4 linked regions of the Arabidopsis thaliana genome follow. The protein of the gene in region 1 interacts with the protein of each later gene in a pairwise test. Each region holds a gene or a part of one and is shown in the gene's direction. Other genes may lie near its edges. The genes, in order: RING, AT3G60080, WRKY7 and WAT1.

Evidence for each region.
Region 2: the proteins of RING (region 1) and AT3G60080 interact in a protein complementation assay, tested with the Arabidopsis thaliana proteins (one large-scale study listed by BioGRID).
Region 3: the proteins of RING (region 1) and WRKY7 interact in a two-hybrid assay, tested with the Arabidopsis thaliana proteins (one large-scale study listed by BioGRID).
Region 4: the proteins of RING (region 1) and WAT1 interact in a protein complementation assay, tested with the Arabidopsis thaliana proteins (one large-scale study listed by BioGRID).

What each region holds. Positions count from the first base shown.
Region 1 is NC_003075.7:10,710,257-10,718,256, reverse strand, and holds RING (SBP (S-ribonuclease binding protein) family protein), read left to right. Parts: upstream 1-3,511; 5' UTR 3,512-3,621; coding exon 3,622-3,677; intron 3,678-3,765; coding exon 3,766-4,624; 3' UTR 4,625-4,847; downstream 4,848-8,000.
Region 2 is NC_003074.8:22,185,772-22,193,608, forward strand, and holds AT3G60080 (RING/U-box superfamily protein), read left to right. Parts: upstream 1-1,503; 5' UTR 1,504-1,863; coding exon 1,864-2,784; 3' UTR 2,785-3,163; downstream 3,164-7,837. Other genes in the region: AT3G60070 (Major facilitator superfamily protein), read right to left, coding at 16-170; AT3G60090 (VQ motif-containing protein), read left to right, coding at 5,087-5,560; CSY5 (citrate synthase 5), read left to right, coding at 7,117-7,167, 7,251-7,304, 7,421-7,462, 7,593-7,658, 7,749-7,814.
Region 3 is NC_003075.7:12,567,356-12,576,202, forward strand, and holds WRKY7 (WRKY DNA-binding protein 7), read left to right. Parts: upstream 1-4,182; 5' UTR 4,183-4,574; coding exon 4,575-5,350; intron 5,351-5,452; coding exon 5,453-5,578; coding exon of another isoform or gene 5,579-5,582; exon of another isoform or gene 5,583-5,931; coding exon 5,932-6,091; 3' UTR 6,092-6,418; downstream 6,419-8,847. Other genes in the region: ACBP3 (acyl-CoA-binding domain 3), read right to left, coding at 1-7, 100-205, 540-1,399; AT4G24231 (uncharacterized protein), read left to right, coding at 1,520-1,669; MLO13 (Seven transmembrane MLO family protein), read right to left, coding at 7,653-7,820, 7,910-7,970, 8,054-8,121, 8,218-8,424, 8,513-8,603, 8,703-8,791. UniProt on the Arabidopsis thaliana protein: Transcription factor. Interacts specifically with the W box (5'-(T)TGAC[CT]-3'), a frequently occurring elicitor-responsive cis-acting element.
Region 4 is NC_003070.9:28,334,428-28,343,370, reverse strand, and holds WAT1 (Walls Are Thin 1), read left to right. Parts: upstream 1-3,095; 5' UTR 3,096-3,279; coding exon 3,280-3,494; intron 3,495-3,591; coding exon 3,592-3,654; intron 3,655-3,731; coding exon 3,732-3,848; intron 3,849-4,107; coding exon 4,108-4,528; intron 4,529-4,622; coding exon 4,623-4,774; intron 4,775-4,887; coding exon 4,888-5,089; 3' UTR 5,090-5,183; exon of another isoform or gene 5,184-5,589; 3' UTR 5,590-5,645; downstream 5,646-8,943. Other genes in the region: AT1G75490 (Integrase-type DNA-binding superfamily protein), read right to left, coding at 6,706-7,326. UniProt on the Arabidopsis thaliana protein: Required for secondary wall formation in fibers, especially in short days conditions. Promotes indole metabolism and transport (e.g. tryptophan, neoglucobrassicin and auxin (indole-3-acetic acid)). May prevent salicylic-acid (SA) accumulation.

The sequences.
Region 1 (8,000 bases):
AATCGACCTTATATGTATATGTCATCCGTTAAACTCGTGCATAGACCAAGCCGGGATGGATCAATCTGACTGACACCTACTAGTAGTTGGTGCCGATAAGGATGGACCAATTCGAGTTTTCAAAAGTTATATATGTCGTTCTTCAACTTTCTTTCCGCATTTTTTCTTGTCTTTTTATATAATATGAATGTAAATATTAATGTCATGTCATTATCTGTTGTTAAAGAGAAATAGTACATACATAACACATAGCATATAAAACAAAATGAAAATGAAAAGGTTTAACTGTAAAAGGGACAATATAAACGTAGGAGTTTTTTTTGTGGAAAAAAAAACATCTATGTAAAATTGTCAAGTGGATCAAAATCAAATATTAAGTTCGATCATCTATGTAAAATTGTTGAATATTTGTTTGAGTCTCTATAAAGTATAAACATCTTAGGTGAAAAAAATATCTCGTTGTTTTTATAATTTTTGAAACTTAATTTGAAAAAAATATCTATCTATTACGCAAATAATTAGTAATAACTAATCCGCGACTGAAAGAATCAATGTATATGTTTATAAAATAAAGCAATTGACGACACTAGCTATATACATGATTAGAGAATTCAATTCACACTAGTTGTTTGATTTTAAAAAGTTAGGAGTTTTCATCTTGTCACGTTTCCTTCATATATAGCATGAACTCGGCCACGTACGTCCACATCTATCTTGTTCGTTTGTCTAACTTACGAAATCAATATTAATTAGAAATCCACATATAGAATATAAATTGAAAATGAATTTGAAAACGTATAATGGGACAAATAAGTAGTCTATTCTAAAATGATAAAAAGCTCTGAACAAGTGATGATGTTAGGCTTAGTTTCTGACATTGGAGCAAAATCGATAATTAGACAAACGAATATGTCGACAAAATATATATACAAATGAAGTTGAGAAAGAAAAGACAACCGAAGTTGTCTTTTTCGACGAGTCTGGTTTATCCTCAAAGTTGTTCAGTACTGTTACTTTTAAGGAAAATAATCGTGGTTTGGTCTTCTAAATTGATTTTTCTTTTAATATCATATGTGGAAAAACTTCTATTACACCAAAAAATGTTGTTGAGTTCAAAATAGATATGATGTATCGGTAAAGAAAGACTGAACCGATATTTACACAATTCTCGGTTGTAAAAAGAGATTGAGATCGTCCACTTTAACGTAAGTATTAGGGGTGGGCGCAAGGCTAGTACTTGCTATTTTAGGGATACTTGTTACTCGACTTGCCTTGTACGAGTAATCAAATAAGTAATTGTATTTGGTTTATTGAAAACGAGTACTTACAATTTCAAGTATTTGCTAAAATATGATTGCCTTGCGAGTTACTTGCCTTGTCCTGTTACTTGCTACTTGCGAGTTACTTACATGTACTTACGAGTTACTACTTGATATTCACGAGTTATTTACAAGTATTTACGAGTTATTACTTGCTACTTGCGAATTACTTGCAAATAAATTACTTGCAAGTAACACTTTCGAATTACTTAAAATTACTTATTATTTTATTTATCATATTTTTTACTTATTTAAAATTTACTTTACTTCTAATATAGTTTTAAAATGTGTCTAACACTAAAACAATACAATATATGTATAGAAAATGGTAAAATAATGACGAGTATCGAGTCAAACGAGTCGAGTATTAGTTTTTTTTCATTACTTGTTACTTGATTTGTACTTGCAAGTATCTAAATTATACTACTTGTTACTTGCCTTGTTAAAAACGAGCATTTGTTTTTTCAAGGCGAATACGAATCAAGTAGCGAATATAAGACGAGTAACGAGTACTTATGTCTAGCCCTAATAAATATATATGTGTTTTTTCAATAACTATAACAAAAATAATCGATTAACTCTTTTGTGCTCAAGTTACTATGTAAAAATTGGTATGAACAACATTAGATACGCATCATGATAATGTTTGTTTAGTGGATAAAAAATCGATTAACAATAAAAAAAAATAGAGAGAGGCATGAAAACGAAAATAAGGAAAAGAAAAAGACTATTCGTTTGGTGTGGTCGACCTGTCCCACACCGAGGAAATCACACTTTTATGACAAGACCTACTTGTCCGTACTATATAACATTATCGAATGATTCCGATTTTCTCTTTCCTTTTTTTTTTCTTTAATACGGAAATTACTAATTAAAAATTAAAAAGCGACCAGACGACAATTCAAGAAGCAAACAAAATTGGTGGTACCGAAACAATAAATCTTTTTTATTTATTTCTAAACAATTATTAATTTATTGAAAATTTCACGAAGAAATGAAACAGAAAGTTTTTCTTGGTCCCACTTAGACGTGGCCTCAATCTTCACATCATGGCCCCACACGCTTCTCACGTGCAACTTAACCAGTTACGACAAAACAAAATTAAGAAACATATTAACTTTAGAAATGTATTTACAATGGTTAAATTATTGTTTTGTGCCATTTCGTTTAATACAATGCACCGCTACATGATCTTAAGATAGCTCACGGAAAATTTAGAAAAGTAAATCACAAGTCCCAAATATGCCACGGTGGAAGATGACATGGCAGATATAAAGCGGAGCTTTGCCACATTGAATAAAATTACGAGAGTAACTTTATAGTTTGTAAAATTAAAATCATGGGAATGGTTTAAATTTTAAATAAAATAAAACTGAAGAAATGAAGAGTATGCATATTTAATACTATCTTTTGATATGAAATTTAATTACAGTAATCACAAAATAAGGAAAAGTTAATAAGAAAAATATGGGTTGACTAAAGAGAGGTTAATTTGGAATCTTTTTACAGAAGAGAATACAGTGAACTAACATAAAAATTTTATTAGGAAAGACAGCTTTACACATTTTTAAAAATGCATTTAAGGAAAAAACAGCTTTGCACCTTTTTTTATAGGATTTGCATCTTTAAATTTTAGAAATAATACAAAAAAGGATGGACAAGAACATAAAATCTAATAGTTTTTTCAACAAAAGAAAAAATCGAATAGTTTATGCTAATATCATTAACATATTAGCAAAAAAAAATTTATTGATTTTATAATGGCTCTTTGACTAGTCAAGCTTGCATATGTTTATGTGGATGTTGCTAAGGAAACATGCATGAGTGCATCAATAAATAAGAAAGAAATATTACAAAAAAAAAACTTTTTACACGTCCCAATATTTGCAAACTTCAAGAAAGATAGTATATATTGTTGAATAAAAACTTAGTATATTTTATATTTCTCTAGATTATATTCCTTTTAAGTTCATAAAATTGGTTGTTTCTTTTTCTTTTTCCTTTTACAAAAATCAACTGTATTTTACTAACATTTAATTTACAAAAACTTTAATTACTAAACACAATTGGTAATATACCATGAAAGTCAATATCTAATTTGAATTCATAATTATTCTAAATATCTAAAATATTTAAATAGTAAAAGTAATAAATATGTATTTATAGAAAATTAAAAAAATATTGACTTTTTTCTCTCCCTTAAATAAAAGCCAATCCCATAGATTTCTTCACCAGTCGCCACAACTCCTCCCTCTTCTCTCTCTCTTTGTTTCAGAATCTCTAGGAGCTTTTTTCAACAACAATGGCTGTTCAAGCTCATCACATGAACATTTTCTCTCAGTTTATATCACCAAACAGGTAAAAATCTCATTTTTATATTCTTCTCACAAACAAACTTCCTCTGTTTTTATTTTCCTCTAATCTTTTTTATTTTTGTTATTTGCAGAGATTGTGTTAAATTTCAAGAAAACATGAACCACGGCGAGTTTGAGTTTACCGGCGGTGAAGTTCCGTTAATAACCGGAGAATCTTTCGCCGTTGAGCCTTTAGCTGCGAAAGCCAACTTCAACAAAGCAGAAAGTGGTCTCAGTTACAATTTCACTGTTCCTCCTCTGTCTACAAAACGCCAGCGAGATTTTCAATTCTCAGACTCAAACGCTCCGGTTAAACGGAGGTCCGTAGCGTTTGACTCATCATCACCGTCGTTGATAAACGTTGAACTCGTATCTCAGATTCAAAACCAACAACAGTCAGAGATCGATAGGTTCGTAGCTCAGCAAACGGAGAAGCTAAGAATAGAGATTGAAGCAAGGCAACAAACGCAAACGCGGATGTTAGCGTCTGCGGTTCAAAACGTTATAGCCAAGAAACTAAAAGAGAAAGACGATGAAATCGTACGGATTCGAAACCTAAACTGGGTTTTACAAGAGAGGGTGAAGAGTCTTTACGTCGAAAATCAGATTTGGCGTGATATCGCTCAAACCAACGAAGCAAACGCTAATACTCTTCGAACAAACCTAGACCAAGTTCTTGCTCAACTCGAAACGTTTCCAACCGCTTCAGCCGTTGTAGAAGACGATGCGGAATCGAGTTGTGGAAGTTGTTGCGGTGATGGTGGTGGTGAAGCGGTAACGGCGGTTGGTGGTGGTTGTAAACGGTGCGGTGAGAGAGAAGCGAGTGTGTTGGTGTTACCATGTCGTCATTTGTGTTTGTGTACGGTTTGTGGTGGTTCGGCTTTGTTACGGACTTGTCCGGTTTGCGATATGGTCATGAACGCTAGTGTGCATGTTAACATGTCTTCTTGACCATCTTTTTTTTTTGTTCGTTACAATTTAATTTATATTTTTTTTGTTTCCTTAGGATTATATTCGCAAAAGAAATAGCAAATTGATTCTTTTCTTTTTGTAAGTACATATAAATTAGTTTTTGGTTAACTCTTGATTTTCTTACGACTTAAATGGAATCCAAGACTGAAAATTGCAAAAAAGAAAGACGAAATAATTTGTCGAAGAGAATTTAAAGGCTCCTCCTCTCATTATGTGTGGGAAAAAAAGAAAGAATAAATCATATAAATGAATTTAAAGTGATTCGAAAATGTTTTGAAAAGTAAATATTCCAGAGTTCTTTTTAAGTTGCACCGTTGTTTGGTTGCTTATTCTCAAAGTCGATCACATGAGTTTGAATTATCTACCACCTTTTAAAGATTATCATAGCGTCGATATAAATTGAAAAAGGTATAAAAATGGTCTATGGATATATACTATTGCAATTTGGAAGTATCCTTTATCTTTCCAACCCCGCAACTATATTCAACCAGAAGAATCATACTTCGCTATCGAAACTAAAATAAATTATGATAAAAGAAAAAGAAATAGTCTGAATTCGATTGTCTCAACGACATTTTCAGTTCATAGTCATTATAGTTGTCGTGTAATAAATATTTCATATTCGGATCATGTCATGTGCAGTGCATGTCTAGACAAAATAAAATACCCCCACTAAAATGGATTTTTAAAATTATATCCTATATTAATTCTATAAACGACGAAATTAGAACGATGAATACGATGTGTGAATTCACGAGTTACGATGATTGCGTCCAAGAAACGTTACCATGTCTCTATCCAATAATTTAGTTTAATTTATGTCTTAGAATTATTTGGATCAAATGGCACGAAACGAAATAGTGGCGAAAATGAAAATGGTACGACTCTGCGATGATTCGTACAGAAATTAATTAAAGAGAGAGTTTGAATTCACATTTTTCCATGTCTTCGTTCTTACCCATACTTATTTTTTTCCTTTTGGCCATGCCCCTACATTACGTAGTTACTTACCCTCGCCCAAAGTTTTATGTTATATTCACCTAACCCTATCTTTTAATTTGTTTATACTTTATACGAGTTTGGACAAGGGAATAAGAAAAAATAAATTAGTTAGTGATTGTTGCAAAGATAATGTTTGTGACTAATTGGAGCTTTGTCTAAAAAATTTACTTCCAACAATTCATAAGTATATTTGGATTGTATTCTTTTTTTTTTTCTGATGCGAAATACTCTTATAATTTTAGATATCAGAAAAAATCATGGTTGTTATTATTTGTGGGGACTATAAAAATCTATAAAGCGTTTCTAAAGTCTTAGATATTATTTTAAAGGATAGTTATCGTTTATTTTAGAATAATATCAAACATTATCGTCGTACCATTACCAAACCTAGCATGAATTAGAAGATCCGATTATCCGAATAACAACCAAATACTAGAAGAAGTGATTCCGTAAAAGGGCTGGCTTCTCAAATGGGCTGTTCGGATACTTCCATACACTATCTATTATTTTTTGTCGGTCCATACACTATCTATTAGGCTTTAGATTTCTTAATTATTAGTACTCTAGATTTGAGAGATGGAAAAATATTACACGGCAAGATACCTTGGAGAGAAAAAAGGAACATAGGAATACTATGACATCGTGTGACCAATCCCATTACAAATCTACCACAAGACATGTATAATGTGATAGATTCCATAAGAAAAAAAAACTAGAAAGACAAGAGGAGGCAATCATACGAGAAGATCGATATTACAAAGCACCCGACAACAACATATCAAAAGAATCAGGTAAAACCAGTTTCAAAAATGATCACATACAGAATTTTCGGAAAATTGTGAAATTACTTTCGTAGCCATGAAGTTAATGGCTAGAGTGACTAGACCCGTAACATTACCATATATCATTTGAACTGAAATTTGTTTGTTCTGAGGATTATTTTTCAAGATATCAAAACGAAGATAAGTGGCTGCACAAACTTTTTTTAGCGAATATATCGTTATGTTATCGGGTCTAGCACTCTATCCACTGATTTCATGACCACGAGCCTCTATATTGCGCCGACTTCTTAAATGGGTTTCAATAGCAAATTTCTTTACATTAATTGCTCATCTAATCACTGATCTTGAGAAAAGTCAAAAATACTTATCGTAATTTACATCCAACATCTATAAAAATTGAGTATCGGCCAATTAGTGATTCATCATACGTAGAAACATAGACGCAAACACAGTGCTACAATCGATAAGAAAACTAAATGACGAATCGTAGAAAAGAAAACTTAATTTTGTCTTATAATAGGGACGAAAGAGCCATTTCAACCTTGGAACTAACCTCGTCTATTTAAGATATGTTGATAAGAATTTGTATAATTGTACATTAGTTCTTAGTTAATATATATAATATATATGTATATTTTTCACATGGCGATTTCGGAGATGAAAATTCAAGATCCTAAATTATTTATAGACAGGATATCCGAAGAAAAAAACAATAGAATCTCAGGACAAGACATGTAAAGTGAATGGGTGATATTCTTCCAAAATCGTAGGTTCTCTTCTTCCTTGGCCCTTCCTCATGCTCCATTCATTTTGCAAAATATTTTTGGAAAGAATTATTGAATTTTAATGAAAGTCCTACTTTCATAGTAAAGATTTGTTAATTTTGGCAGTACTTTATATGTAACTATTATTACATGACATTCGAACTCTCGAGAGGGGTTTGAAAACAGAAGCATCTTACGTGTATTCCAACCGTCCACAAGATATATGAATAAAAAAGAATCATATTTCTCCATCCGACTAAAAATATTGCATAGTCATTATTGTTGTCGTGCAATAAATATATTAGATTGGGTCATATCATGTGCGTTGCATGTATAGACAAAACGATGAATACGACGATGTGATGAATTCACGAGTTACAATGAACGCGTCCAAGAAACGATTACCATGTCTCAATCCAGTATCTTATTTATTTTCCCAAATCAAATTTAGATTAGAAACAAGTCAATAACAATAATAATAGATATTTTAGTTTGAGTTTATCAAAACATTTAGTTGGATTTGGATGAAAATGTAACGGTACATAAAGAGTGGCTATAATTTGTTGGATTTTGGTTTTGTTTATGAACTAGCACACTACAAAAAAAATCATGCAAATGATGAAATCTTACAACTCTTAGAACGGAAATTTTGATAGGACTTTTCTACCGTAAACCTACATTTTGACGAAAACATAAGTCAGAGAAAATATCCTACAAAAGAAAACAGTGAGAAGAGCCATGGAAATATCCTAGCTATATGACTGCATGAGTATGAAGTATGAACAAATCAGCCTTGATAATATTGTT
Region 2 (7,837 bases), on another chromosome or scaffold:
TAGATAAAATTGCACCTAGGGGAGAGACCAATTTGGGTCAAGAATAGGAGGAGGTAAGTGAACCAACAAGAAGCAGTAATGTCATTAAGCATATGCCCTACTCCATAGAAGAAGACAGACCATCTTCCAATGGGTTTTGTGAATGGATCCTCCTCACTTCCTCCGGTCATTTTCTCAACCGCTTCGAAATTTTCCCCGGAATAAAGTGAGGATTTTTAATCAATCTGGACCTGGGAAACCCCTAGCAATAAATTATCAAACTCCTCAATAAGATCTAATTGAGCTAATCAGAAACAAAAGAGATGAAAATTGAGCTATCAAACCCTAAATCAGGAAAAAAATAGGAACTTTCAGACCTAGAAAACAGAGGAAGGGGAAATTTTCAAACCCATGAAGGAGTAAAAATCAAAGGAAGGAGCTTTCACATACCCAGAATCAACTTCAAATGAAAGCCCTTGTGATGAGAGATTGATCTATAAGAAACCTCAAAAGCAACAATTTCTCCCCCAAAGGAGGGAAAAAGAAGGAGTAAAGAAGACAGAGAAAAACTTGTTTCATATTGAGCACTCTCTCCACTAACCCTAACTAATACCTTTCTTCCAACGTCATTATGTGAGTCATTCTATGAACATAAGACCTTTTCTTTTACCTTGAAAAAATAGTATTATAAAATATTGGAAATTGAAGTGATCAGAGAGTGAATGAGAGAGGCAGGATAGTCTGAGAAATCATGCGGTCATGTCGGTTTCATTTTCCAGATTTGGTTATGGCTTTTATGGGTGACTTTTGGAATTTTGTTTGCAAGGGATCAGTTAATGGATAGAATCTTGATAGCAATTTGTCAGAGATTCTTTTAAAAAAGTTGTAATTTTTTTGCAGGCAACTGGAATCTACTACTAAACGCTTGTAACGCCCATACTTTCATTAGATAAGAAAACAAACAATTAAAAGCTCAAATCTTTATGATTGTGATTTTCTCACTTTCCTTATTTTATTGCTTGCTTACACGAGAAGGCACGTTGTTGCAGCATCAACATTTAAAATGCCACTAAAAAAATAAATACGTCGCCTGACAGATTCGAACTCTCGCGGGGAAACCCCATGTACTTAGCAGGAACACGCCTTAACCACTCGGCCAAAGCGACTTTTGATGTTTTTACACGTTATTAGATATTTAAATGTGACTACTTTGCTATACATTTGTTTGTCAACTGCCCTCATATATCAAAGATTAGAATACATCATACGAGATTACAATAAACAAATGTACCGTATATAACTTATATAGTATCGCAGATTCGATGTTTGGCAATTACTTGGTGACTACATCCAACGTTGTTCGTTTGAATATCACGATGATCAATGATAGAAAAAAAGATTACGTTTTAAAATATGGTAATTAAGAGCGACCGCTAGAAAACGAACAATAGAAAATGTTGTATATAATTTGATTACTTGTTGCAGTTGTCAAACGAACAAATCTGTGATTTTTTTGATCTAATAGAGGTATAGCAAAGTAGTTATCATTCACACATATGCATACTTATTATAATCAAACAATATTATCACTAGCAAAGTCCAATTAGTAAGTGCAAAGACTTGTAATAAACTTCAAAGAATAGAGAGACCCACTACCAAACCTTCCGAATAAAGCCAAGTAAAATGGTAGGCCCTTTATAAACCAACTTTAATCCATTTTAACTTTTATATATTAAAAAAGGGCCTTGAAAGGCTTTGAAACCAATCATAAACCCATTATCACTAGTACTCAACCACAACCACTAACTTTTGTTTCTCCTTTCCTTTTTTTCTTCTTTCACATTTTCTCTTTCTTTCTCTCACAACCACCACCACCACTTCTCAATGTCGTCTTCCACCACCACAACAACCACCGTCCACGGCGAGCCTGAACGACGAACTTACTGGTGTCATGAATGCGATATGAGTTTATCCCTCCTCTCCTCCTCCGATTCCGATTCCGATTCCTCTCCTCTGTTATGTCCCCAATGCCGTGTCGATTTCCTCGAACGTATGGATCACGATTCTTCTTCTTCTAATCTCTTTGACGTTACCATCGGTGATTTTGAAGAACAAGACGGAGAAAACGATGATGAAGACGACGAAGAAGATTGGTGTTTCGTTGATCCAGCTGTTAATTCCGATGATAATTTCCTCCTCGATAGTCCTTACCTTCACCGTCTTCTTCGTCATCTCGCTTCCGATAATTCAGGATCGTCTTCTTCTTCCTCGTCTTCATCTTCTTCTTCGTTATTGAAATCTTCAGATATCGATTCGATCCCCACGATTCAGATCTCGTCTTCTTTGCTCTGTTCCACCGATGATTCAGATCCAGATTCCGTTTTACTCTGCGCCGTTTGCAAAGAGGATTTCATCATCGGAGAATCTGCTCGGAGATTACCGTGTAGTCATATATACCACTCCGATTGCATCGTCCCTTGGCTCTCGGATCATAACTCGTGTCCGCTTTGTAGATTTGAGCTCCCTACGACGGCGAAGGTGGGAATCGGTGGCTCAGAGGCTGAGATGAGAATCAGATTATCGGATCTGGCTACGATTGCTGCAGATGGTGATGATGTGGAAGATGATTGGCTTGGAATCAGAAACGCGTTGAGAAGACTGGCTCGTCGTCATGAGCAGATGAGATTGGGAGTGGGAGAGATGGAGAGGAATTTGGCTAGGACTGTTTCAGGTCTTGGAATTGGTATGAGAAGAAGAGAAGAGATTGAAGCAGACAGAAGCAACGTCACAACGACGCCTTTGTAAGAACGATTTCGAAATTCAAATATGAGTTTTTTTTTTGTTTGCTTCAAATTCTCAGCTCTCTGTTTATTTTACCGATCGGCGTTTTAATCGATTATTGATTATAGTTACAATAACGAGAGTTTTTTTTTTTTCTTCATGTTCAATTGTTTTTACTTTTTAGACAAATGTTGATGATCTCTTTGCTTTTGAGTTTTGTCTACTTTCGATACAATAATTGATGAAATAAACGTAAGTGTAATGATTTGTTCTACGTTTTTCATTTCTCGACTTTCTGATACGGTGAGTGGTGACTGTAGTCTGTTGATCTGGTTGACTCTAATAAAAATAAAAGTGAATACAAGGCCCACCAACAAAGACAAAATTGGGCTGAGAATCTTGGGCTATAAGATGATTAAAACTTGATTTTTAACCAATTTTTGTTTTTGGACCTTTTCGCATGTATCTGTCTTTTGATTTTCAGTTTTGATGATTTGATTTTGCTTCTTACAAAAGAATCCCAATTGTTCGACTAATTGTGGTTTTAAACTAGTACTACAAATTAATAATAATAATAGCTCTACTATATAGTTGTCATTAACAAAACTCTTCACCCTTGATGATGTCTTCTAACCAGACCTGCTTGAATCAAAACACCATCACCTAAAAAATAGGATGGTAGGAGCCAGTGGTTTTGGTGAAATCCTTCTACCAATGCACTCTAAAACATCTAATTGTATGAATTATGCAATGATTGAGACACTAGTGATTCTAAGCAATTTTCTGCCCTTTTAGTTTAGGTTTAGGATCAAATGATATTTTGGTTAGCAACAATTAATAGTTACATTAGATAAATAATACGAAAAACATCTCCCTGTTAGACAACAACAAACTGAAAATAAAGGATTTGACGTAAAACAAGTTAGTTTATCATGATGTGAAAAACAAATTGATCGAGTAGAAACTCAAAGCATCCAAAGAAAGTTGGATCAACGGTTGTATAATTCAACACATGGTAGTTAGTATAGGGAGATTTGTTTCACTAGTTTTAAGGAGAGTAAGTCAACAATCCCGCGTATCAACATTAAATAATGACCAAAACAATACGATTTGTTCTTACAAAAATATCATACAGCTATTGTTAACTACAAATGTCAAATTCTTGAAATTTTATATAACCGAAACACGCTAATGTCAAACTATGATCTATTTAAATTAAATAGATAACTTTGACCTTTAAATCAGTTGATGCAACATTCAAGTAGTGAACAAAAAAAAATCGATTGATGTAACTAATTATACTTATTTTACTAGTTTGGATAAACGAAATTGTCTGACCTAGTGACCTCTCCATATGATTAGTGGCCGCTTTTTTTTTGGATAATTAATTAATCTTTTTTTTTGGGTCAAACAATTTTGGATTTTTGATCCAAGGAATCAAAACATCAAAACAAAAAGCTTTGCACGTGTACAGATGAGTCACATATCACGTCCGACGAGTATCTGTCGTGTTTATTAAGTTATTAGTATAGGGCACACGGAATTTGTTTTTCTTTTTGTCGGTTTATCTAATCTCTTAATTCCGAAACAAATGTAATTTTTTTACTATTAACGATGTTTACCATAGACAATAAATAATTACATTTCACATATGCTCCGTGAAAATTACTAAGACGAATTTCACATATGTAGTGAAAGATTGTTTTAAAATATATGTACAACTCCAAGAAACCCTATCTCCATAAGCCATGTAACAAATTATTATTATTATTATTTTGGTAAAGGACATTTTAACAAATTCGTAAATAAAACAAAGTCAAATTCACCTCCAAAGGTTAAGTCGACGACCTATATTATATAGTCAACCACATATATTAAATAAAACATCGCTCACGCCATCTACTCATATGTATGTTTTTACTTAATTATATAGCTAATTGATTATATGATATATCATCAGTTGGAAAATTAAAAACCATTTTATTCCGATAGCGTAAAAGAAACAGATCATTCTTTTTGTTTAAATTACAATTTATTTAACTCAAGTTGTTGAAAAGTGTGTAATGGAAGGCAGGTCCATAGCTATTTCGTCTTATATTTTTAACTATTTTCATTTTGTTTGTCTTTAAGAAATAGTATTTTATTAATGTTTTTTTACAAACCAACAATAAAACTGTATATTCACATTTTGTTTTTTTTGTGTATATATATAGAGACATATAATCCACAACATATGCATATCATTTCCCAAAACAATACAAGAAACCTGAAATCCAAAAAAGAAAAACCCAAAATCTTCGCTTCTTCATCTTCTTTTTACGTTTATATGGTGAGAAATTCTATGAAGGCTGAGTACGATATAGATCATCTTCCTCATCAAACCTTTTATGGTGATTATTCAAAAACTTTGGTTCCCATGAACAAGAACTCCCAAATAATAACCAAGATCAAGCCTAAGATCCGTATCATCCATATATTTGCTCCCGAGATCATCAACACCGATGTCAAGAACTTCCGCACACTCGTCCAAAGTCTAACCGGGAAACCGGAGATCACCAAAACCGGTTCTAAGAAAAAGATAACCAACACAAATTTTCCTGCGCCACCGGGTTTGCCTCAAGATTCCGGCCAAGAACATACGGCTGAACTGGACAACAGAATAATAGGGAGCCACGTGGTGAAGGAAGAATGGGGATCAAGTTCAAACACAAATACTTACTTTGATTTTGACGGTTTGATCGATCTTGATGAAGACGACAACATATTCTCAAGTCGATGGTTTGATCTTCAACAACAATAATTAGTTTGGTCACACCTTACCCTAATATGTAGGGTTTCTACTAATCGTAAGTCCTGTTGGTTTTGATGATGATTTGATCATTTATTCGATATGGAGCATAACAAGACATGGGTCAAGACAAGACCAAGGTTGAGACGATGATCATCTATATAGGTAGGAACATACATAACTTGTATATATGTACAAATGTTTGGATTTTTTGGGCTTGGGTGCCCTTTGATTTAATTTGTTAGACTGACTTAATTTACCAAGAAAGAGTGTAGTGATGAGTTTGTAGACTGATTTTGCCAAGAAAAAGTAAGTTTGTGTTTTGATCTCCGATCATGTGAAAACTCTACTTAAAAATGGTGTAACGTTGTACTCACGCGTGCGTGTGCAAGTTTTATATATAGAAAAGCGAGAATGATATTGTGATTGAATTTTTTAGATTGTTCATTTTTTTTCGTCAAATTATTTTGTTTGTTAATTCATATATAAGTCATGTTACTTACAACAAATTGTTTGATAAAACAAAAATGAATTCCATTAAACTGAATTAACGAAATACTATAATGATAAATGATTCTTACATGACTCTAAAAGAGTTTCGATTTGAATATATAAATGAATAAAGTTCTGTTTTATTGGCGATGTTCTTGATATATACCTTCAAAACTTTATGGCTAAATTACATTTTAACTTCTCAAAACGTTAGATTATGAAAGGTGGACTCACATTTCATAAACATTAAAATGATATGGTAATATGATTATAATGAGTTGTAATGGATATATGTCATATTTTTCCAATCTCATTCATTGAAATATCAGTTTATTTTTTGGATGACATAACGATCAATAGTGTCATATAATATGATATCCAATGTTTTAATATTAACTAGCTATAGCTATATCCATCATTGTTAATAGTTGTGTTACATCATTAAATAGTATTTCAAAAGAATATAAAAATTTCTGATAACTAATGGAGAATGAAGAATATCAAACCGCCCATTCGACCAAGAAATTATAATAACGAAGTTTATAACTTTTTTTTTCAATTGTGAAATGTCATTTTTACTTTATTTATTTCCAACAAAATAAAATTATGTTTTATCTAAACCCTTGGACTTTACCAAGAAGCTACTTTTTTATTTAGCAACAGCAAAAGCTACATACCATTTGTTCTTTATTTATTAATGACCGTTTTTTTAGGCATTAGAATCGTTACGGCTGCTTCGAATCTTGCGTCTCACGGACCGACGGAACTAACCAATCTCAACCGAACCCGAACATAACCTGTTCGTTTGGTTTTCTAAATGGTAATCAATTGGTTCATTATACCGGTTTGGTAAGAAGAATCCGTGTGTTTGGTTTACATATGTTGTAATTTGACGCTTGTTCATCACGTTGCAGATATATCTCAACATCTCTCAATTTTTCTCTCTACGTTGAAGAAACTTTCGAATTTCCCGTTAGTTCTTCTCCACGCTTTCTCTTTCCCTTTATCTCTTATCTGGTTAAGCCAATCTTGATTGTTTGGATTCGTAACCGATCAGTGTTGTGAGGTTTGAAAGAATGGTGTTTTTTCGCAGCGTATCAGCCATTTCAAGACTACGGTCTCGAGCAGTGAGTAGATTTAGCTTTCATCCTTTTTGTGTTTTGTTTGATGTGATACAATTTGATGATCAGATCTAATATAAGAAGCACAGGTGCAACAATCCTCACTTAGTAACTCCGTCAGATGGCTCCACTCTTCTGAATTGGTACTTTCTTAGGTTTTCATGTTCTCGTGATCATGCGGTTCAGTTTGAGAACCAAAAATTTGGAATTTTACCTTCTAGGTTTTGTGTTGATGTTGCTTAAAATGATGGTAATGCAGGACTTGAAGTCGCAGATGCAAGAGATCATTCCAGAACAACAGGTTTAGTTTCTACTTCGTTGTGATTGAGATTGTTTCTAATTTTAGGGCAGATTTCATGTAGAGATCAAGCTCTTCTCTCTGTTTTAGTTGATGTCATTTCTCATACACAAACACAACTTTCAACTTTCAGGACCGTTTGAAGAAACTGAAATCAGAACAAGGAAAGGTTCCAGTGGGGAACATCACCGTTGATATGGTACGGATTCTAATGATATTTGTGATTACACAAAGGCTTTATCTTTTAAACATACTCGTATATATAGTTTTACATGTGGTATTTGTGAAGGTACTTGGTGGAATGAGAGGGATGACTGGATTACTCTGGGAAACCTCATTGCTTGATGCAGATGAGGTATGGTTATAATTTTGATCACA
Region 3 (8,847 bases), 1.9 Mb from region 1:
TCCCTACCTGTTGAGAGAGCAAAGTCAAAAGTTTCTCAGACCTCAAAAGCCATTAAAACATCCAGGTGATATTCAAACCCTCAAGATCAAACAACTCACAGTATGACCAGCTTTCGTCAAACCAGGGATTTCCTTTGAGACAAGTGCAAGATACTGCTCCATTGCCTCTTCTTGACTCATGTTTCCAAGTTTTTGCCACGCATTCCTAAAGAACAAGGTAAGCACAATTTGTCACTCCCACATAGAACTTGTTGAAAGATACCATAAAGCAACTAAGCTATACAACAATTGCTGATTCTGTCCTAATTAGATGATCAGAAACCTTTTAAAACTTTATCCCTCCTAGTTTCTAGTGTATGGAATCTATTTCCATATCAGTAATATGACCTGCAAAACTCTGCAATAAAGATTTCTACCTAACCACTTTTATCAGTCTTACACCACAAAGTTCTCTCCTTTATGACGTTCACATTACAAGTATCAATTACCAATCTGAGTTGCAGAGGAAAGAATTCAGAAACAGTGGAAAAGTATGGTACCATTTGGCACGAGCAGAGATCATGACGGCCATAGGTTGTGCCTCTCTACATGACCCTTCAGTGGCGATCTTGTGAAGGCCAAACAACTCCATCTTAGCTTCAGCACCAATTTCTTCAGCTTTCCCGGATTCTTCCAAAAGATTTACAGCAGCCGCAAAGGCTTTCTCAAGTTCACTCCTCTCAATTCCTTCCCAATCATCATCTTCTTCAATAGTCAACTCTGTTTTCTCTTCATTCTCTGCTTCAGCATCACTCTCCTCCACCATATTACTACTCTTTTCAACTCTAACCTCCTCAGATTCAGCGACTAAGACATCTCCACCACTTTCTTCGTTTTCTACGCAACCACTTCTTCCTAATTCTGTTACTTCCTCTTGTCCTTGACTCTTAATCTCCTCCGCTACCACGTTTTCCGGCGAGACAGAAGAAATGGACTCAGCTTCAGCCGAGTCGCTCTGTTCGTCCTGTCCTCGAACTAAGATCACCTCCTCGGCGATCACATAATTTTCCGACGAGGCTGCAGCCGAGGACTCAGCTTCACGGTCACCACAGATTTTAGCGTTTCCAGTAACAGCTTCATCGACTTCATAAACTCGATCAGCTTCTTCGCTAAGAAACCGATCGACAAGTTCCACATTCTCATCAACAACTTGGAAATTCCTCTGGCTTTCGAGAACACGAGCATCCATCTTCATACCAAAACGAACATCCTCTGTAACACCGACACCGATCTCGGGCTTGAGCGGCTGATCAGAACTCAAATCGTTCTCCACCGTAGCAACAGAAACGAGCTTGGCCAAAAGGAAAGAAAACAAGAGAGCAACAACCGCCGTGAGAAGCATCTCTAAGAAAACCTCCATGATCGAAGAAGATGATGAAAAAGGAAAGTAAGATACTTAGGATCTAAAGAAGAAGAAGGAGAAAGGCAAAGAATGTAATTATACGAAAGGTTAGAAAAGAAGGAAAGGAAAAAGGAATAAATGAGAGACAAAGAAGAAAGCATATTCGGCTTTAAACGGGAAGCGGGTCCGTCAATTATATTTTCTCAACGCCTAACCGCTATGACTGCTGACTTGGCTCTTGCGGTTTTATTCTTATCCTCTTCTCCACCTCACCGGCTCCTTCCTTAATCCTTATGCAGCGCGCCGCTTTTTTTTTTGCTCTCACTGGATCTTTGTCTTTGGACTCTTTACAAACTAAAATAATGATTGGAAGAGTTTTTTTAATTTTTTTTTTTTTTTTTTTTTTGGATTTTCGTATGATAAAAATCTGGCTTTTAAAAAACACACTTTTATGAAAACTAATTTCCTTAATTTTGATTGGATGTTTAGTGAGTTTTTTTGAAATAACAAAAACCAGCTCATTGAAAATTACTCCCATTCCAAGCTTTAATGATGCTGAAATTAAGTTATAGTTTTGAATGGTATAGAAATGGAAATAGAAAACAAGACCAAAAGAGAGATTAAAGGTTTTTGAGGTAATATGCAAGGACAGTTCATAGTTTATTTGGGCCTTTACAAACAAAACATGGGCCTATGTTAATGCATAATATGATAAGACTAAGGCCCATGTCTTCCTACCTATTCACCTACATGGCCAAACCCAGTCGATAAGTTTGTGACGGAACCACAATCATGACACTCGTCCTTATTTGCTCAACTACGGTTAAAAAAAACTTGATAAATGGGTAACAACACACTTCACGAAGAAACTTAAAAATCAGTCTAACGAGGTTTTCACTAATAAAAAGTTTTTGTTTCTTTCCCTAACGACTTTACCAAACAAAGAAAGGCAAACTTAACTTTGCCAAAATTACTAAAATCACTGTCGCACAACAAAAGTCTCCTCTTTGTTTTTTTCTTTTCAAAATCTCCTTATATATCAGAGTTGATAGAGCATTTATTAAATCAGTATGTGTGATTTATTCTATATTCTGCATAAATATGTAATATTTTTAGCATCTTTTTTTTTTTTTTTTTCTCATAAGTGTAATATTTTATTCATTTTATCATTACCAGTACAATGCTTGGTTATGAGAAAACCAAAATAAAGCCCAAGACATCCCACATATAAAGGCTCATACGACACAAAAGAAGAGATAAGCTATAGACGTGTCAGACCAATAATAATAAGCTAGGGACACGTGGAACGTCCACAACCTTCACTAGTCCTGGACAAAATATTCGTTCGATCCGCTTTAACTCAATATTCGATTTGATTTGATTCGAAAAATCCGAATATTCGTAAGATTTTGGAGCAAAGCAAATAGAAAAATGTAGTAATCGTAAAAACCGAAGCAAATAACAAATACTATTTTTTCTAAAGTCGGATATTCGCTTCGATCTATATATATATATATATATATATATCACAATATAGGTTGTGCATTTGTATATGTTGGGATTTGGGCTTGTATTTGTATCCTTTGGGCCTGTGTTTTTTTTGTGACACAGTTTTTATTAGAGAAGTGGAATTTTTTAAAATAAAATTGTTTTATTTTTTATATTTTATCCTAAAATTGTCGTTTTACTTTCCAATCCATCAAATATAAGAGCGACATTTCTGTTTCCTTTCTTCGACCTTTCACTATTTTTATCACTCAATTTGGTTACAGAATTTATAACCAGAAAATTTTCAGTTGCTCTCAATCTCACACTCGTAAGTCATAAGGTAAGAAATTTGAAATCTATGTTAAATAATTTATATAAAAAAATATTTGGATGTAGCAAAGCAAAGCGGATATCCGACAAATATCATACAAAAATCCGGATATTCGTATTTTCGGATATTTGGAAATTTTCGGATCAAAGCAAATAATAAAATTAAGTATTCGATTAAAACGAATCGAATAACAAATATCCCAAATTTTCCGGATATTCGCTTCGTGCCCAGGCCTAACCTCCACTGCACATGAGACTCAAGCCTGGTGAATCAGAAACGTCGTTGGAAAATCACCGGTCAACGAGACTTCTTTTTTATCACCAATTAAAAGTTACAGAACAAACATCAATCTCCTAATCTCATCCGATTGCAAGAATCACAAAGGATTCGGCAAAAATGGGTAAAAGAAATTAGAGAAAACTGAGTAGTTCAAACTTGTCTAACAATTAAATCTCTTGCAAGAACAACAAAGGCATATCTTAATTGCATAGGAAACGAGCTTTGACCTAACCTTAGTCGTGGAGAAATTGAAACTGTCTTAAACACAGTAGATCCAAACGAACCTAATTGTCGAGAACGCACACATCGCCGGAAAACTGTTGGAGCCAAAAAAAACAGAACCCAACGGTGAAGCCAATCAAAGCAGAAAGAAACTAAATCATGCGAAGAGAACACCTCTTCGGAACTGAAGATTCTGCCTGTCATAATGTTTCATCATCAAGATTTTAAAGCTACAAAACAAAAACAAATCCGAAGAAACCGAATTCAAAATTGCCCAAAAAGAAATCTAAATCCCGATCAACGGGAGATAATAGCCGGAAAAAATCCAGATAACGGAAACCGGAAGAAACCCGGACGGCGATTCTAAACTTACATCGGAAAAATCTTTCTCTGAAAAATACTATAGAGAGAAGAGAGAGACCTTCCTCCTTTTAGATCTTTCTTTAATTAAAAATTTAATTTTTATATTTTTAGCATCTAATCAGCCTCAAAAATATAAAATATCTTAGATTTTTCTCGAATAATAATAACGAATATATATATAATTCGAGCTCCACTTGCTCCAAATTTAAAATCATTGACGCTGAGGAGTGTCAAAACGCTTGACAAATGATCACACGTGTAAGCCTATGAGTGGTGGTCGATTTGACTGATGCACTATCAACACATACCTAAAGATATAGAGAGAGAAACGCATATCGTTGACTCTCCCCCTTTTTCACTCTCTTCATTTATTCTTCCCCTCATCATCATCATCATCTTCTTCTTTAACCAAAAACACAACTTACAAGAAAACTGTTGAATCTTTGTATTTATTTACATCTCCTTTGACCTTTAATAAGAATCTGAGTGGTTGGTCTCTGATTTGATGAGATGACTGTTGAGCTGATGATGAGCAGCTACAGCGGCGGCGGAGGAGGAGGTGATGGTTTTCCTGCAATCGCCGCGGCGGCGAAAATGGAAGATACCGCTTTGAGAGAAGCTGCTTCTGCAGGGATTCACGGTGTGGAGGAGTTTCTTAAACTGATCGGTCAAAGTCAACAACCAACGGAGAAGAGTCAGACGGAGATAACCGCGGTGACTGACGTCGCCGTTAACAGCTTCAAGAAGGTCATTTCTCTACTCGGTAGATCTAGAACCGGACACGCTAGATTCAGACGAGCTCCCGCGTCAACGCAAACGCCGTTTAAGCAAACGCCGGTGGTTGAGGAGGAGGTGGAGGTGGAGGAGAAGAAGCCAGAAACAAGCTCCGTGTTAACAAAACAGAAAACAGAGCAATATCACGGTGGTGGATCTGCGTTTAGAGTTTATTGTCCAACACCAATTCATCGTCGTCCTCCTCTATCACACAATAACAACAACAATCAGAATCAAACAAAGAACGGTTCGTCTTCTTCATCTCCTCCGATGCTCGCAAACGGAGCACCGTCAACGATAAACTTTGCGCCGTCACCACCAGTCTCAGCGACGAACTCATTCATGTCTTCTCATAGATGTGACACCGATAGTACTCACATGTCATCAGGATTCGAGTTCACTAACCCATCTCAGCTCTCTGGTTCGAGAGGTAAACCTCCTTTATCATCAGCTTCGTTGAAGAGAAGATGTAATTCATCTCCCTCAAGCCGTTGCCATTGCTCCAAGAAAAGGTTTTGATTCAACTTCTATTATTAAAAATTAATCTTATTTTAGATCTAAATCTTGAGATTTGATTAATAAAACGTTAATTATAATTTGTGTAAAAAAATCAGGAAATCAAGAGTAAAAAGAGTGATTAGAGTTCCAGCAGTAAGTAGCAAAATGGCTGATATACCATCAGATGAGTTTTCATGGAGAAAATATGGTCAAAAACCAATCAAAGGCTCTCCTCATCCTCGGTAATTATTTTTTACATTTTTTACCATCGATATATATACTCTACACATACATCACAATCACTCACTAGATTCAACACCAAAAATCAAATATTGGCTAGAAAATTAAGCAACTTGTGTATTGTCAATATTAGTACCAGAGAGATTGTCAATATTGTTTTTTTCTATATCGGTTGTACCAAACATGTTGTCTAGTAGTACAGTAGTGGGTTCAGTTTCACGCTCTTTTTGACTTGTTGTTTCCTATAGAATAAATTTGAAATAGAAAGCCGAGAGTTAAGTTGACTATTTCTTTTCTCATTAATTAATAAGAACTCGAACTAACTGGGGAGGACTCGGTGTAATGGTTATGACAGGGGATATTACAAGTGCAGCAGTGTAAGAGGTTGTCCGGCGCGTAAGCATGTGGAGCGTGCACTAGATGATGCGATGATGCTAATCGTGACGTACGAAGGAGACCACAACCATGCTTTGGTTCTCGAGACGACGACGATGAATCATGACAAAACTCTTTAGTTTCTCGAGTTTGAGGGGAACTGTCTGTGTGTGACCACTATCCAGATTAGTCAACGACAGAGTGGGCCCGCACTGCACTTTTTTATTCTTTTCTTTTTGAAAAGCTTTTGCTTTATCTTTCTTTTTGATTGGAGGAAATAGAGGGAGGGGAGATAAAGACGAGAGAGGAACGTTGTGGATCTTGATGGAAGTTGAATCATGTGAATGTCCTTTTCTGTTTATTTATTTCTAGGATAATATATATTTAGTGCACTATTTTTGTCAAATCTCTGATTCTTTTCTTACTTGCAGAACTATTTGAGTTTTTAGGGAAATTATCAGTTAATTTAGATTCAACTGACCATAATGCTATGCTGGTAATTGGAAAAAATTGCAATTCAAATTTCGTTAAACAAAAAAAAAAAGAACTATTTGTAGATTACATAGTCAAATCAACTTAACACACGTTTATAGAAACTAGAAAAGTTGTCGATCAAATAATAAGTAGCTCTAATAAGTATTTATTTCAGCATTAGTGAAAAACCTCAGATGCAATGTCGTTATCCTTTTAAGTGTGTTTTTTCCAACAAAGTTGACAATGTTTATGATTATGTTAACGGCTATAAATTCAAGTGTAAAGTACTTCAACATTTAGTAAAAAATTTAAAGCTTTACTACAAAATTTTGTTACCAAGAAAATCAGCTATTCATGCATCATTGCGTTATAACTCTTCAATATCACTTTTAAGTGATGTTTTAGAGACTTTTTTTAAAAAGATGTTTTAAAATTTTTTAGACCAATCATATTTTAGAGTATGTTATCTAATTAGTTAAAATTTGTTTAATTGTATTATATGTAAAAGAGGTAGGATTAAAGTGATACACAAATTATGTGTTTTCTTAATTTGTGTATAAAACCTTTAAACATCACTTAAAGTGATACAAAAAGAGTATTTTACAACATATCCATTAATAGAATTTAAAAAGTCATTCACTTAGTCAAAAAAAAAAAAAAGCATTCCATATTTTTTATTTTATTTTAGAGATTAGTAAAAGAAAACGTTCAAATGCAATGTTATTTAGTATTTTTCTCCCTTACAAAGTTAACGACCTTTTTAGAAATTCTATAACGTCTACAAATCGTTTTAAGTATTAAATTGAAAAATGACAATGAGTTCGAGTAATTTGTTATTGTTAAAATATAAAATTTATCTTATTTAAAAGCAATTCTAAAGTTCTTCTCTTTAGAAGATGGGATAAATTTATCTTATCAACAAAAAAAGGTACTTATATAAAAATTTAAATTTGCCACTCTGAAAAATTAAGCTACATCCGATAACATCATTGAAAATTTAAACGTTGTGAAAGTAAATAACATAGAAGCTTTTTAATTATATATCAATCCATGTATCATCGAAGCTTTCTTATAAAAAGTAACAAGTCAACTTAATCTAGTAGCCTCAAAAGTAGAAAGGAACGTTGGCGTCAATGTCATAGATGCACACAATCCTCTGATGAGAGCTCTAAATGTGAAATAATAAAGGGATAGCCTTATTGGATTACGACACAAATTGCAACTTAATTAAGGGTTTTCACTTTGGACATTATAAGATTCAGGAGTTGTAGGTTGCATCTCTATCCTATGAGCCTCGCTCGTGGATTCGCCTCTGTTCCTCGTATCTTCTAACCATCCTTCCAGTGTGGACTGTACTACATTGTCGAATATCCCTTTCTTGAATTTGCTACCCATCTTTTAAAAACCGAGCAAAACAACAACAACAATTGATTCAAATTTGTTGTGAATTGGTGTAAACATGTGAATATATATGTGTCACTTACTTGTGTAACAAGGGCATATAGTGGTAATGTGCTGTAACTGCAAAGCACTTGGACTAACACTCTGTATGAACAAAGATCGAACCAAAAATATTAATTAGACCTTTTGAAGGTTGATATTTAGATTTAAAAGAGTTCATATATTACCCCATGACGAGTCTTGGGATAAGGTAGCCTAGTTTCTCCATGATACATGAATGTATTCCGTATGTGAACTGATGATACGATGGATAACTCGTAAATAAGAATGCGATGGTTCAAAAATTGTGGAAGATAAAGAAAGTGAAGCTGAGGGTTGAAAGAAAACGTACCAAAATCCAGAAGAAGAAAGCAATCTCAAATGAATTCTGAAAGAGAATGAAATGGATGAGTTGGAGAACAATGCCTGGCCTATGGAACCAAAAGAGTTCATCAGAAGGTGTGATCACTGCTTCTTCCGCGCGGCTTCGCTTCTCGGAAACATCCAAAGCTAAGCTACTTATTATATATTCCAACTTGGCACCCACCATTAGTAACAACTGCATTTTTGAAACACTTTTTAACTATTCAAAAAGATAAAATGAGATCAAAAGTGACAAAAGAGCCCAATCATATATAAGAACTTACAATCAAAGGCAAGAAAGATAACCAGAAGTAAGTGTTCCATCCTCCAACATTGAGCAGCAAAAAGACGACGACAAAGAGCCATAGATACCAACTTTATAATTATGTATGACATCAACAAAAAGGTGTCAGACAAAACTCATTAAGCCATAAATTGGTTTGTCTGTTTAGAGAGCTGATTTGATTATTTTACCTTATGCTCACAACTTTCTTGAAATCTATTTCCAGTGTTCTTAGCATGTACTTGTGAAAATCAAATGATGGGTTTGTGCGGCAATGACTCTAGCAAGGTAAGAAAAGTATAAGTATTGTTACATAAGAGATTTAGTAACCTAAAT
Region 4 (8,943 bases), on another chromosome or scaffold:
AATCATCATTTGAGAATGATATAAAACAACCTAAATATATGCAAGTGTAAATCATGAACCTACGTTATAGATCCTAATATAAACCATATATAATTAACAAACTAATATGTGCTGGATTTGGTATGTCCAGCTGGGTATGTCTTCATTTATCTCTCAAAATTTACTGATACTATAGCTAATAGCTATATCTGAAAAGAGTAATTCCCAATTTCAACATACAATAACAAGATATTCATCAATAAGATCACTTTTACTAGTTATGAACAGTACCTGGAGAAACAATTGATATTTTTCAATTATCTACCATACACATCATCGCGTAAATCAAACCCTCAAATTCTGAATGAATTAGAAGGAAAACTCATGCCAAGACCTCTGGCAAACTACGTATTTTTATTATGATGAAATAATCATTTACAAGAATTGTAGACAGATTTGGAAATCTCAGTATAGTTAATGAAGGGGTCTGCCTCGACAAATGGCATTATGGATACGGTTGAGCATACGTGTACCACTTGCACGGCCAGTTTCATCACATATATACATACTCCTTTGACCTTTCTTAAGTTTTTTTATTTATTTTAATTTAGGATTACCCCGAAACTACACCATAAAATTTGTTTTCAAAAAACGTCACAACCTTTTCTTGTAAGAAGCTTTTCTACAACTAATCTAGTAAGATTTTACAAAACTGTTTCGATTTTTTTTTAAAATGCTGATATCATTTTGAATGTCCCAAAATAATCCCTTCTTTAGGATTACTGGAAATGTTTTAACAAAATTGTTTTAGTGATAATGTTTGTAGCTAGAACTACAACTAGTTATTTATATATTTTGATAAATTTTTAATTTTGTAGGAACAATTTTCTATAAATGTAGAAAATATTTACAGAAGTATGATATTATTAGAAACAATGATTTCTTATACAATTAAAAAACATGTTTCGCTGTGTATTGAGATATTTTCTATTCAATTTTGATATGAATAGCATCTATGTCAAGAACAGAGGATACAAACTTTAGTTTAGGTTCATCGGGATAATGGTAGAATAAATATATTTTATAAAATAGAGCAATTAGATAAATTAGTGTAACGTGAAAGTATAACTAAGTTTAACTAGATGTATTAAAATGTTAAGGTAAATATCTTTGTTATTGTTCATAAAAAAAAAAGATTTTTGTAATAGAAATGGAATATAATGAAGTAATGAAAATTCCATATTGTTATATTTTGTTATGTTTTACATGTTGCTGCATATAGTTTATCTAAAACAGATTTGTGACAAAATAATATTCCATGAACAATTTTTGCCATGATATTTCTTTTGTCGTGATACATTCGTGGAAGGAAAGAAAAATACATATTTGGTTTGTTTTCACGTGGATATGCACATGTTTCTGTGTACAATTTACTAAATTGGTTTCTCTGGGTTTACATTGTCGATCTCTCCAAAAATAACAAGACAAAAAGAAAGAGAAAAATGAAAGCATATACAAGCAAGCAACCATAAAATTTTCGATGATTCTATTCTATAGGGATACAAATGTATTTGACTATTGGAAAACAATTACACACGTCTATTCGATGAGCACAAAAAAATAGAACTAAAATAAATTAACAAGAAAAATAAAACTAAAATAATTGAGGACAAATACAGATAATAATATTGGTGTAAGCGTGTACATAAATATTGATCGTGTGGGTGTGCCTGCGAAATAAGAGGTACTGTGGGTCTCACGGTTCGGCAGTGCGCGTGGGGCTCGTCCCTACAAAATTAATTATGTAACATAAATAAAATCAAGAAATATATTTACCAAAAAAGAAAGTAAATAAAAGATGTTAAAACGAAATGTCGTACATTTATAATTAAGAGTGTTATTCTCCTGAAGACTATACTGTACAAGTAATAATTAGTAGCAATGCCATGCTGCTCAATAAATATCAAAGGAAAGGACAAACTAAAACCATTATAATGTCTACGATAGTGAGTGCAAATTGAGGAATAGAGTCGTAAATAATGATATATTTTGTGCTTTTTCTATTGTTATTTTTACCTTTTTGATTTTCAGAATTAAATGATTTTAGATATACAAAAAATTAAGAATCATAATGATGGTTGCGTTAATGAGTAGTGGCGTGAGGGTTGTCATGTCAGCTAAACAGCAGAAAAATAAAAGAATGTGGGAGACAGGCTTTGCCCTTTTACACATTTTTAAGCTCTCTTCTTTATTTTCTAAAAACACTATAGTACACAGTTAAAAATTTGCGGGCCCTTTGTTTAATCGATTTAGATTTAACCAACAGCTTCATAGTCGTTTCTTCTTGTTAGAAATCAATAAATGAAAAGTTGGTTGTTTTGAAAGCATATAATTAACTAACAATGTATCATGTTGTGAAACAAAAGCTGATGATAAATGTTAAATATAGTGTCCAAAATTTTGGGAATGTCTTCAAATTTTGATTTTAAAACATATGAGATGTACCAACATCCACAAAATGTTTGTGAAGTTGTGACTTAGTGAGACGTTGTCACTTTATTATCTCGTTTTGGTAACGGTAAGTGCATGTGAACGTGTTTGATTATAAGTTTAACCCGACTTTGTTTACGTGGTCATAGTTTCCAATAAGGCTAAGTAGAATAGTGTATGATAGTTTTCAATTCAAGAGTCTTTTTTTTCCAAGAAAATCCGAAAACACAATCGTTTATTTTAATATCTCAAAAGAAATCATATTTCTTAGGTAAAACTATCATACGTTGAGTTTTTCTTTCTCCTTTTGCGATTTTCCCTGAAATATATTTATGTTGTGTGTGTGCTTTGTAAACAAAATAATAATGAACGTAATAATAGTAAAACAAAAAGTAACCTATATTATTATCATACTTGATATAACCCAATAGAGAAATAATAATATAAATTAAAATTTTATTTCCCAATTCAAAAATCATAATCAAGGAGTGAATGCTGCCAGTAGACCAAAGTAACAATATTTGGTGTGTACATCAAATGATAGGAAACAACAAAAACTCATTAATATACCTAAATCCATATATATATATATATATATATATTTCAATATTTCACATTGTTATAATTAGGTTTAATAGATACCATATTAGAAATCTCAGTATGGTGGTTCCCACAAGCAAAGAGGGGAATGAGATTGCTATCTACCTATATTTATATCTCCGCAACTTCACTCTTTTCCTCAATCAACACACACAAACACACACACACACAGCCTTTTTCCTTCGTTGATCGATTGTTAAGCTCGATCCAATGGCGGATAACACCGATAATCGGAGATCCTTATGGGGAGTTCCGGAGAAGCTTCAGCTTCACATAGCGATGCTGACGTTGCAATTCGGTTACGCCGGATTCCACGTGGTGTCTCGAGCTGCTCTTAACATGGGAATCAGCAAACTCGTCTTCCCTGTTTATCGTAACATCATCGCCTTGCTTCTTCTCCTTCCCTTCGCTTACTTCCTTGAAAAGTAACCTTCTATTTTCACTTCACTTCTTTATTTGAAAACCCTATTTTTTCTCTAGTTGCTAGTTATTTAATTACCAAACTTAATTGTGTTAATTTAGGAAGGAGAGACCAGCGATTACTCTCAACTTTCTCATCCAGTTCTTCTTTTTGGCACTCATAGGGTATATATTTATATCCTTCACTCTGATCTTTTCAATAACAAATTTGGATAATTAGTTAATGAATTATTACACGACAGAATAACAGCGAACCAAGGATTTTACTTGTTGGGACTGGACAACACTTCACCAACATTTGCTTCCTCCATGCAAAACTCTGTTCCCGCCATTACCTTTCTCATGGCTGCTCTTCTCAGGCACTTACTCTACACATCTCTCCATTTTCATTCTCTTTTGATTTATAAAAATAAATAACAATATTTTGGACAGCTTGGATATACAAGAACCACTTTAATAATGTCCATTTGACTTTTCAACGTAAAAGAAACGGATAATAATACACGTAGACAATATTTAATGCCGTTTCCATTTGCTTACAAAATAGTGATAATCATAGTAGTAACAACAATGTAACATACTGTTTATGTACTGTATGTGAAAAAAACAATAATTCAGGATTGAGAAAGTAAGAATAAACAGAAGAGACGGTATCTCCAAAATCTTAGGAACAGCTCTTTGTGTCGCCGGAGCTTCCGTCATCACCCTCTATAAAGGTCCAACCATCTACACTCCGGCTAGCCACCTCCACGCTCATCTACTCACCACAAACTCCGCCGTCTTAGCGCCGCTAGGAAACGCCGCGCCTAAAAACTGGACCCTTGGTTGCATCTACCTAATCGGTCACTGTCTCTCGTGGTCAGGCTGGCTTGTTTTCCAAGCTCCGGTTCTTAAGTCTTATCCAGCGAGGCTCTCGGTTACGTCTTACACTTGTTTCTTCGGAATCATTCAGTTCTTGATCATTGCTGCTTTCTGTGAAAGAGATTCTCAGGCTTGGGTTTTTCACTCCGGTTGGGAGCTTTTCACCATCCTCTACGCCGTTAGTTTTTCTTTCATCTGTTATAATTAATTCGTTTTTGGCCCTAATGTTTCAAAATAATCAATTTGGTCCTAATGAATTGATTTAACTTCAGGGAATCGTAGCGTCTGGAATCGCGTTTGCGGTTCAGATTTGGTGTATTGACAGAGGGGGTCCAGTCTTCGTTGCTGTTTACCAGCCTGTTCAGACTCTTGTCGTTGCGATCATGGCTTCTATTGCGTTAGGCGAAGAATTTTATTTGGGCGGGTATGAAACTATAATAATATTAGTGGTTTATATAAATACTTGATAAAATCCAAGGTCCTAAACAAGAATAATTTTAAAATTTGTTGTGCCACATGTCATATTTCTAATGGCAGGATTATTGGAGCGGTCTTGATCATAGCGGGACTTTACTTCGTATTGTACGGTAAGAGCGAAGAGAGGAAATTTGCAGCGCTTGAGAAGGCAGCGATCCAGTCCTCCGCGGAGCATGGTATTGAACGTGCACCTGTTTCTCGCAACTCCATCAAGTCGTCCATCACAACACCACTACTCCATCAGTCAACGGACAATGTTTGACTACTTTGGACAAATCACTCTCCAGCTAATAATTACAAATGCCATTACCCAATTAAAAGGGAACAATGGTGTGCCGTTGTGTTTTATGACTTTTGTGTCTGCTTTTTTTCTTAGTGTTTTCTCTTCTTTTTTTTTTCTAAAAAATTATTAATTACCTAAGAAAGGTTTTTGAAGAAAGGAAAAAAAATGGTGGATGAGACATCATTGTTCATGAGGATGATGATGATGATGATAGTGATGAAGAAGACTATGTGGGAGCTTTGGATTGAGACTTTTCTATATATAATATCTGGCTGATATATTAGTGCCATTTTTTCTTACATTTCTTGTGGGGTTTTTCTTTCCTTTATCATCAATAGAATGTTATAATTTGCATTTATGATCTTTAGTAATTATCACTGTCGGGGATGTTTAAAATGGATTAGATCAAACGCTTTGTTCTGAACTGAAGTAAAAAAAGATCTTTAGTATTTGATTAAAATGATCTCTTAAAGAAACAGTTTTTTTTTACAAATTTAGTTTATTATCAAATATCCAATAAAAATTCTTAACCGAATGAACAAGTTAAAAATAAACCAACATTTAATATATATAATATAATATGGACCAACTAAGTTATAGTATGGACCAATTCTTGAGTTGAAAGTCCATAGATTTTAACATGGTATTAAAGTTTAGCTAACTTGAGAAAGATGTGTTGTTCGATATATAATTTTTGGTCCAATATTAGAATTTTGTTTGAAATAGACGGATAAAAGCATTATTTTAAGGAGAACGTGTTAAAAATTTCACATATACACTTCAATGCTCTACATTATCTTTCTTGGTTTTCTCGGATCAGCTTACACGTCAGCTTTTTACATATAAAATATCATCTTTTAATTTGATGTAAACAAGAAGTTCATTAACAGAATTTCATATCTTATTTACCTTATACAAATAAATTTCATTAACAAAAGAAATTCATATACATAAGGAAAAACACAGTGCATAAGCGACTTTGTCTCATAATCGTTATCTGGCATAGGTTAGTCTACCATGTGGATTCAAGATTTCGTATTTGAATCCATTAGTTAAATCATATATAGCCCGTTATTGGAGACTGGAGACCATATATAAGCCGAGATATAATGATGTTGGGCCGGAATAAACGGGCCAGGTTTGTTATAAACCACGCCATATAGTCTATCAAGACTCGCGAGGATTACACGTTAGTACAAAGAGAAGCTAAGAAGAAGATGCAAAGAAAACCAAGAGAATAGTCAAAGACTTAAAAGCCCATAGAAACAGAGACATATAATAGTTACACATTGACCGTTACACACAACGTAACATCCCGTTTTCTTTATACAGATACATTGCACTTGATTTAATAGTTTTCCCCATGACACATTTTTAGCTTCGAGACAAACAACTGTCGTTTTTATGTTTTTTTTGATATGGTAAGAATCTGCTTTCACACTATACAGACAAACCACATATATAGATGTGCACATATATAAGTACATGTAACTGGTGTTTATTTACATATATATCCTAGTTCACGGTGACTATATTTGTATATATATGTAGTTTGTATATGATAACTTAACAATTAAAGAGAGTCTAGTGACACCTCAAAGTGGGGAATGAAAGGAATCCCAATTAGAATAGCCACCGGAAATACAAGTATCAAACCGAGAAATATCATTATCTCCTTCATGAACCCATGGAAATCCTAACGACATTGTAGCTTCTTCCCATATTGAAGAATCATCCATTACCGGCAAATCCACGTTTATATGCTCCCATGATATCTCCTCTGTCACTCTTCCACATGATGACATCTCGTTGGATGAACACGGCGACTCAGAGTCGCTGCTGCTTTTTCCACCGGTGTTGCTGCTTGGTGTAGTCTGGGACGCCGGAGACGACGCCGTTTTAGGGTAACTTCTTAAGGACTCAGGGAGGTTGAGATGAGCCTCAGGCCCATAGAGCTTACGAGCTGCGGAGTCATAAGCCAAGGCAGCTTCACGGGAGGTGTCGAAGGTACCGAGCCAAAGACGAGCTCCTCGGTTAGGCTCGCGGATCTCAGCGACCCATTTGCCCCAAGTGCGTTGTCTAACACCTTTGTAAGTGCAAGACGCGTTATCGGGTCCACCTTTTCCTCTCATACAACCTTTCCTCGAACTAGCTTGGACGGTTCGTTGTTTCTTATTAGCACCAACCATCATTACTTTTGGCTCTATGGATGACATGTACGGATGTTGATAACTCGAAAGTGATATTATGTGACGACTTTTGGTGAGTGATAAGGCAAAGACATGAGGTAATGGTTAGGTGTGTATATATACTAGAAGAGAGTGATGAAACGTGGCGAGGAGAAGATATAGCTGGCGCAGACATGACGGAGGGTCGTGTCGAGAGGAGGAAGCTGGTGTTGTGTTTGTAATCCTAACACTTGTCTCGAGAGACCCTTCTTTTTTTGGCAACAGTAATCGTAAAACCAGCAGAGAGATTGATGAGTTTGAGATTTTTCCAAAAAAAAAAAGAAAAGAGAGAGAGAGATATGGATAAGGTCATCCGCGATTGGGGAAATATAAAAAGATTTATCACTATGAATTAATGGCTCGTCATGTGAATGCTTCTATCTAATATCAAGCTATGGCTTTATTCATCAGAAAACAAAATCAAGCTATGGCTTTAACTTAATTATAATTTCAAATAGCTAAAAAGAAAGAAAAAAATACATGATTTTTCTTATATATACAAACTTTTTTAATTAAAAAGCCTTTAGATTTATAAAGCTTTTCTCTATGAGTCATGTAATCTCTCCTTTTGTAAAAAAAGAATCATCATCTAATGCATAAACATTGAGAAAGAATTGTAGTTTTTTTTTTAATTCGTTCATAGAGTCACCATTTTCTTTCTTGATGTTATCCATTTCTCCAGGCTTTTTAATTGCCACGTGGGAAATTATAGCAAAGTACAAGTATGAATGTGTGTAAGGGTCAGTCATGTGGCGGCAATATGTCCACGCAAATTAAACGTACGGGACCCGAAGGTTCCTCGATAAGAGACAAACAAAGTTCACTGAATCTTACTTCTCTGTCTTAGAACATTTGTGGCCGAGACACACGTGAAAAGGCGGCCTTTTTAACCGATAACTACAAAGCTCCGGTTCCAATTTATCTAACTTATTTTTTGTTCTAAATATTATCTCTAGTATTCTCAGATAGAACTTTTTAAAAATTTGAAGTCGTTCAATGTCAAGTAGATTATTATGGAAATTGCAAAACATAATTTACCAAATCAATGTAATTGCAACTAAAATCCATTAATTTGTTTTGGATTTTTTTTTTTTTGAAAAAATAAATTTAGCAAGAGAAATGAAGATGATTTATGTAGATCGAGAAAATAGTGAGATACTTAGTATGAATTATCTTGTTCGATTGGGAATTTGTTATGATGGATTTGACTCCGATGTCTGCTTATATAACTTTAACATATCCACAATATAAAAAATGTTGAAGATATGCAATTAAACTTATATTTCTAGTACTATATTCTGTGTTGACAGCTAAAAAAACAAAGCTCTTAATGCACTAAATTAATTCTCTGTAGAAAAATGCATTTGAATGGGGATCATCTGCGATTCCACACTCTGAGGATGCAATCCAGGTGACACAGCATGCTGCTAGTTATTTAGTCAGGTAAGAATGTAAGATCACCCTCATCAACGTTTTCACAGTTTTCCCAACAACATTTTTTGTTTTCTCAATGGATTGCGGTTGAATGTGGTGCAGTGAAGCTAGGACGTCACTGAACAGACACCATCTAAGAAAGTGCTGAGCAATCTCATATACAACTATAAG